2 linked regions of the Saccharomyces cerevisiae S288C genome follow. The protein of the gene in region 1 binds, or shares a complex with, the protein of each later gene. Each region holds a gene or a part of one and is shown in the gene's direction. Other genes may lie near its edges.

The links.
Region 2: the proteins of CUS1 (region 1) and HSH49 are in contact, whole or in part, in a crystal structure (PDB 5LSL), measured with the Saccharomyces cerevisiae proteins. Residues at the interface, in NP_013967.1 of Saccharomyces cerevisiae: Arg290 (codon at 2,704), Pro291 (codon at 2,707), Gly292 (codon at 2,710), Arg293 (codon at 2,713), Ile294 (codon at 2,716), Ser295 (codon at 2,719), Glu297 (codon at 2,725), Leu298 (codon at 2,728), Ile301 (codon at 2,737), Met302 (codon at 2,740), Pro311 (codon at 2,767), Trp312 (codon at 2,770), Lys315 (codon at 2,779), Met316 (codon at 2,782), Ile319 (codon at 2,791), Gly320 (codon at 2,794), Leu321 (codon at 2,797), Pro322 (codon at 2,800), Thr323 (codon at 2,803), Gly324 (codon at 2,806), Tyr325 (codon at 2,809), Tyr345 (codon at 2,869); in NP_014964.1 of Saccharomyces cerevisiae: Ile20 (codon at 2,066), Gln24 (codon at 2,078), Glu27 (codon at 2,087), Leu28 (codon at 2,090), Ile30 (codon at 2,096), Gln31 (codon at 2,099), Ile32 (codon at 2,102), Asn33 (codon at 2,105), Pro34 (codon at 2,108), Gly61 (codon at 2,189), Asp62 (codon at 2,192), Tyr65 (codon at 2,201), Lys68 (codon at 2,210), Ile69 (codon at 2,213), Met70 (codon at 2,216), Thr73 (codon at 2,225), Val74 (codon at 2,228), Arg75 (codon at 2,231), Leu76 (codon at 2,234), Tyr77 (codon at 2,237).

Annotation. Positions count from the first base shown.
Region 1 is NC_001145.3:749,140-753,076, reverse strand, and holds CUS1 (U2 snRNP complex subunit CUS1), read left to right. Parts: upstream 1-1,836; coding exon 1,837-3,147; downstream 3,148-3,937. Other genes in the region: YHM2 (Yhm2p), read right to left, coding at 172-1,116; RNT1 (ribonuclease III), read left to right, coding at 3,400-3,937. UniProt on the Saccharomyces cerevisiae protein: Essential splicing protein required for U2 snRNP binding to pre-mRNA during spliceosome assembly.
Region 2 is NC_001147.6:910,814-913,963, forward strand, and holds HSH49 (U2 snRNP complex subunit HSH49), read left to right. Parts: upstream 1-2,008; coding exon 2,009-2,650; downstream 2,651-3,150. Other genes in the region: long-chain fatty acid-CoA ligase FAA1, read left to right, coding at 1-632; GNT1 (glucose N-acetyltransferase), read right to left, coding at 2,806-3,150. UniProt on the Saccharomyces cerevisiae protein: Possible SF3b-like factor.

The DNA of each region.
Region 1 (3,937 bases):
CTATAGATATTAAGGTTTGCATGAAGTAAATAGCTGATAACCTTAGTACAATTAGAACAAGTTGAGACAAATAGGAAGCACCCCAGCATAAGAGCAATATCCTCAGAAAAAAAAAAAATGACTAAGCTAAATAATTAATTTTTTTAAAAAAAACTTATAGTACAATACACGCTAATGTTTGGCAACTGGGGTTTCACCAGTCATTCTGGCGACAAATTCCTTCGCCATATCACCAAAACCAACCATGAAGACAGTTTGCCAGATACCTAAACCAATTCTTGGGGTGACACCACGGTAAAGACCCTTTAGACCATTTGATTGATAGATGTATTTAAATGTCTTACCAACAGTCAAATTTTTTGGTCTGTTTGGATCTTCCTTCTTAGATTGCATTTCAACTCTAATGACTTCGATTGGTTGATTCCAAGCACTTAAACCACCACCTAAAGCACTGGCACCAATTTTCTCGAACGGATTCAACTTGTCGTCTTTATTGGTTTTCCCGGTGATCTTTCTGATACCATCTTCCACTAGTCTGGACAAACCAAAACGAGAACCCCAGTTGGTCATTTGTCTAATAGCAACAGCATTAACACCCTTATTAATACCTCTAATACCTTCCTTTTTATAAATATTCTTGAACACACTCCAAGAAGATTGTGGGACACCACCTGCGGAGGCAGATTTATGTCTTGTAATTTCCACCGTTTTCATACAGGTACAGAACCCCATGGTTAAGTAGGCTTGAGTGACACCACCCGTGACACCACCTAATATACCTGAGGCAAAGTTGTTCAACCCCAAACTTTTGAAACGATACTCAGCCTCAGCTGACACGAACAGCAACACAGCACCTTTAGTGGAGGCTTCGATCCATGCCCATGGAATCAAACCTTGGTAGTAACCCAAGATACCACCTCTTGACCAGACATGCTTAACAGATTCTAAAAATGTGAAGTTTCTGTTTGCAGCCATTGTGGTCTTAACAACCTCCAAAGGTTGCCCTAATGTAGTCACCTCTGACAAGTTTAAACAGGCACCCAATAGGATATTAGAAAACGAGACTGGCTTTTTTTCTATTACGTTTGCTGCAGCAGTATTAGTGGTAGATGGCATAGCTATAATGACGTCGGGCTTTTCCTAGCTTTATTTGTACAAAAGACTTATATAAAAAGATTGTATCAGCGCTGTTTATATCTCAATGAAAGTAGATATATATACCGTAAGCGAGTTGAAACAATGACTTGAGGTGGGCAGCTTCGGACTTTTTGCAAAATTCAAATCCGAATATCTAGAAGATTGTATTGACAGCGTTTTTTAAATGTCCGTAGATTTCTCGAGATATATAAATGTTACAGAAGGTAAGATCCATGCAAGAGGCTAATGCGTTTTTCTTTTTTTTTTTTAGAGTGCGATATCTTGTCATAAGTTTACACAATGGGACAAAGGAAGCTAAAACATGAGTGCAAAAGAAGGGCCCATGTTTGTCGCCCTATGCATTTAGCCAATCATCTTTTTTTTTTGCGTGATCTTTATCAATCGTGATTCTCTGCCTTCTGAGTGAAAAAAGTCATGATCTTCGCGTTATTGCAGCGGAATTTGCCGACAGGACCTAGGTCTTGAGAAAGAAAAGTGATAGGGTAAGTAATGGAAGAAGAGGGCACAGGTCCAATCACGCAGCTTCATTACAGGGCTATAATTGCAAGAATAATAACTTTCAACCATATAGAAATCCAATACAGTATATTGGTATTGTTTAGAAAGGTATTAAGAAGGCAGTAGCATACAGAGTATATATCTATAGGCAGAGCATCAGATCATAAAGATAGTGGTGAAATGGCTAGAACCAAAAGTAGGAAGCGTTCCGGAAATAACCAAAATAAGAATGCGTCTGTGGTAAATAATAAGGCTGAGATCGCCGCCATGATTGATGCAAGAAGGCTTGAGCAAAAGAAAAAGGGTGGGGTGACTAACAGCAAAGGAAAGACGAATAAGGTAGTGGATGCGAAGTTAGAAAAAGAGTTCAAAGACGTTTTACAACGATTTCAAGTGCAAGAGAATGATACGCCGAAGGAAATCACGAAAGATGAAAAGAACAATCATGTCGTTATTGTTGAGAAAAACCCAGTTATGAACAGAAAGCATACAGCAGAAGATGAATTGGAGGATACACCCTCGGATGGTATTGAGGAGCATCTATCGGCAAGAAAACGTAGGAAGACTGAAAAACCTTCACTTTCGCAGTTAAAAAGCCAGGTACCGTATCCTCAAATTATAGAATGGTACGATTGTGACGCAAGATATCCAGGCTTACTAGCGTCAATTAAGTGCACCAAAAATGTCATTCCTGTTCCAAGCCACTGGCAGTCCAAGAAGGAATATCTATCTGGCCGTTCTCTGTTAGGTAAAAGACCTTTTGAACTTCCTGACATTATCAAGAAGACAAATATAGAACAAATGAGATCGACGCTTCCGCAAAGCGGACTGGATGGTCAAGATGAAAAGTCACTAAAGGAGGCCTCAAGAGCAAGAGTGCAGCCGAAAATGGGCGCCTTGGATTTGGATTACAAGAAGTTACACGATGTGTTTTTCAAGATAGGAGCCAACTGGAAACCTGACCATTTGTTATGCTTCGGTGACGTCTATTATGAAAATAGGAATCTTTTCGAGGAAACGAACTGGAAAAGAATGGTTGATCATAAGAGACCGGGGAGAATTAGCCAAGAGCTTCGTGCCATAATGAATTTACCCGAAGGTCAACTACCACCATGGTGTATGAAGATGAAAGACATTGGATTACCTACGGGATATCCTGATCTGAAAATTGCCGGCTTGAATTGGGATATAACGAATTTAAAAGGCGACGTTTACGGAAAAATAATCCCTAATCACCATTCAAGGTCCAAGAAACAGGGTAGAAACTATTTTGGCGCATTGATCTCATTTGAAACCCCTGAATTTGAAAATTCAAAAGAGGATACACAGGCGAATGCGGAAAATGGGCGCCAAGATGACAAAATCGATGATGAAGTAGAGCATAAGTTAGATCACTTCCAGGAAGACATATCCGAAGTGACAAGCGCAGAAGAAAAACTTGAGAGAAACGAAGAGGAATCGGAGAAGCAACTATATACTGTATTGAAATAACTACTAAATATCGCATAGGTACTTCAGTTTTACAAAATTTTACATGTGGTACTATTTCTCACGTACGAGTTTTTTTCTTTTTTAAATGCGGCCCTAAACCATGCTGAAATTTTTCATGAGCTCATCGCAAAATTTATCTCATTATCAGGTCATATAGTCACTCTCAGGAGAATCCTGCTCGATCAAAGTGAGGCAAGTAAATGCGCATATAGAAGAGAGCAAAACTGTCCTATTTACAAGCTTTTCAAAACAATGGGCTCAAAAGTAGCAGGTAAAAAGAAAACCCAGAATGATAATAAACTAGATAACGAAAATGGTTCACAGCAGCGCGAAAATATCAATACCAAGACGCTTTTGAAAGGCAACCTTAAGATATCAAATTACAAATATCTTGAGGTGATTCAACTAGAACATGCTGTGACAAAATTGGTGGAGTCTTACAATAAAATAATTGAACTTTCACCAAATTTGGTAGCTTACAATGAAGCCGTTAACAATCAAGATAGAGTGCCTGTTCAGATACTTCCTTCTCTATCACGTTATCAATTAAAACTGGCAGCTGAATTAAAAACCTTACATGATCTTAAAAAAGACGCAATTTTGACAGAAATTACTGATTATGAAAATGAATTTGATACTGAACAAAAGCAACCTATATTGCAAGAAATCAGTAAAGCTGATATGGAAAAGTTAGAGAAGCTAGAACAAGTTAAAAGGGAAAAGCGAGAGAAAATAGATGTAAATGTGTACGAAAATTTAAATGAAAAGGAAGATGAAGAAGAAGACGAAG
Region 2 (3,150 bases), on another chromosome or scaffold:
ATGTTGAAGAATTAGGTTATTTTGCTAAAAACAACCAAGGTGAAGTTTGGATCACAGGTGCCAATGTCACGCCTGAATATTATAAGAATGAGGAAGAAACTTCTCAAGCTTTAACAAGCGATGGTTGGTTCAAGACCGGTGACATCGGTGAATGGGAAGCAAATGGCCATTTGAAAATAATTGACAGGAAGAAAAACTTGGTCAAAACAATGAACGGTGAATATATCGCACTCGAGAAATTAGAGTCCGTTTACAGATCTAACGAATATGTTGCTAACATTTGTGTTTATGCCGACCAATCTAAGACTAAGCCAGTTGGTATTATTGTACCAAATCATGCTCCATTAACGAAGCTTGCTAAAAAGTTGGGAATTATGGAACAAAAAGACAGTTCAATTAATATCGAAAATTATTTGGAGGATGCAAAATTGATTAAAGCTGTTTATTCTGATCTTTTGAAGACAGGTAAAGACCAAGGTTTGGTTGGCATTGAATTACTAGCAGGCATAGTGTTCTTTGACGGCGAATGGACTCCACAAAACGGTTTTGTTACGTCCGCTCAGAAATTGAAAAGAAAAGACATTTTGAATGCTGTCAAAGATAAAGTTGACGCCGTTTATAGTTCGTCTTAATGGATCAACATTTCCATGATAGGAAAGCCTCATCATACTAAAGCACTTTTTCAGTTTTTTGCTTTAGAACTGCTACCAATTATAAAATAGAATGCACAGGTTATCTTGTTTGGTTTGTTATTATCCTTTTTTCTTCTTTACCAGTCATATCACCTCATTCACGTATGTTCGTAATTTATAATGTTAAAAATGGCATATATAGATATATTTATGAACATCCTAAAAAATAACTAAATTTTTCTACATTTCAAAAAAGGTAACGTTGACTGCCGCATGGCAGTCTAATTAGGAGCTTAGTGATACATATATATATATATATAAATTTCGGCCAAGACACCTCACATAAGAAGCATTACCAGAGGTGTCCTGATCTGAGATGGACCCTGTCTCATTTGTTGAGTTGACAAAATATCAGGGAAATTGATTACCCTGGTGTGCACTGACTCCTTAGTACTCATTTTCACAGCTTCGTACACATCATGGAAGACAAACCATAGCAACCAGCCGCTCTCATTCAATCTCGCATAGACTGGAAGAAGAAGCTCCAGAAGCATATCCATTCCTTGCAAAACGTTCGTTTCTGCGTGCCTGTCTTCTCCACTTTTGTCTCGGTCAGCCAACAGGCACGTGGTGGGTGTGCCTGGAGATTAGAAATTGTAGTTCCTCAGATTATGTAAATTTTCTCAACAAATTTACTAGGACAAAGAAATGACGTAGTAAGAGTACTAAGTATCAAGATTGTTGAGGTGTTCCGTTGTTAGTACTTTTTTACGAGCACGCGAAGTTGACACATTGTGTCTGGCAGATGGGAACTAATTTACTAATCAATTTGCAGCAGTACGCTATCATGTGATGAAATATATTCCCGTTGGATTAACCATAGTCTAATAGACAGTAATATCGAGGACTCAGGGACTACGCCATTTATTTACTTGGAATAATTTGCCTGCCCATTCAATAAAATTATGAAAATTGTGACGTTCATACACATGCTGATGAAATGAGTATTTCTTTTAGTTGAAAATCCAACAAATTCCTCATTAACGCCGTTTTCCCACTTCTATTTACTGGCTTTTCTTTCAAAACGAGGGGATTTATTCTTGGCGTTGTTGAAATTTTCACATTTCCAGAAGATTTATTCGGCGTTTATTTTTCTAATCCAGATTTAACAAAGAGAACAAAATCCCACTCGTTACCCTGCCTTGAATTGTCAGATGGCCTTATTTATTTATTTGTTACCCGCAGATGTGGATATAAGACGGAAATGGATAGTAAAGCTAAAACGACTCTTCAAGCAGAAATTACCGAGATGAGGTAAAAATGAATGGGCAAAATAGCTAGCCAAGAACAGCGCAATCATTCTAAGATTAACATTGATGAACTACAGCGCAGACTCTGGTAATACAGTTTATGTGGGGAATATAGATCCAAGGATAACGAAAGAACAACTTTATGAACTCTTCATTCAGATCAACCCTGTTTTAAGGATTAAGTATCCGAAAGATAAAGTTCTACAAGCTTACCAAGGCTACGCATTCATCGAATTTTATAATCAAGGAGATGCTCAATATGCAATAAAAATAATGAATAATACCGTTAGATTATACGACCGACTGATAAAGGTTCGTCAAGTAACCAATTCTACAGGAACAACTAATTTACCTTCAAATATTTCTAAGGACATGATTCTACCTATTGCTAAGTTGTTCATAAAAAACCTTGCAGATTCGATAGATAGCGACCAATTAGTGAAAATTTTCAATAAATTTGGTAAGCTCATAAGGGAACCCGAAATTTTCTACCTATCAAACGGAAAATTAAAGTGTGCTTATGTTTATTTTGAGGACTTTGAAAAAGCAGATTTGGCAATAAAATCTTTGAACAATCAGTTAGTCGCCAACAACAGAATTACTGTTGATTATGCCTTCAAAGAAAATGGAAAAGGTAACGCAAAATACGGTGATGACGTTGACAGGCTGTTGAATAAAGAAGCATTAAAGCACAACATGTTGAAATAAGATCCCGCTCTCACCTAGTACATACCTTACCCGTTAGAAAATGCGATAACGGACACAATCTTGGCAGAAACATTATCAATACTATGATATATATATATGCGTTTCCGACTATACTAATTTTTACACTTTTTGAAAATTTTCACTTCTCCTCATAATCAAACGAGGCAGATTTCCCTGGACTGTATGTAAGAAGCGTACACCGAGTTCCAAAGGTCACAAGCTTGGTGCTCTAGCTTTGAATCCTCCGCGTCTTCTTCTTTAACGATACATTCAAACTCCTTCATTGATGGATAATTCCAGGGCTTGGCCAATGGATAATCCGAAAAATGTATGTACTTAGAATATGCGACACTGTCGTTTAATCCTACCGGAATATCGTTGCCATCATTATCCAATGTCTTATAACCCAAAACGTCATTATAGATTATAGAATAGTGCCGTGGGTTTCTCAATGAACCCGTCAGTAAGCCGTACCTTGCAAATGGCAAAACCAATACTTC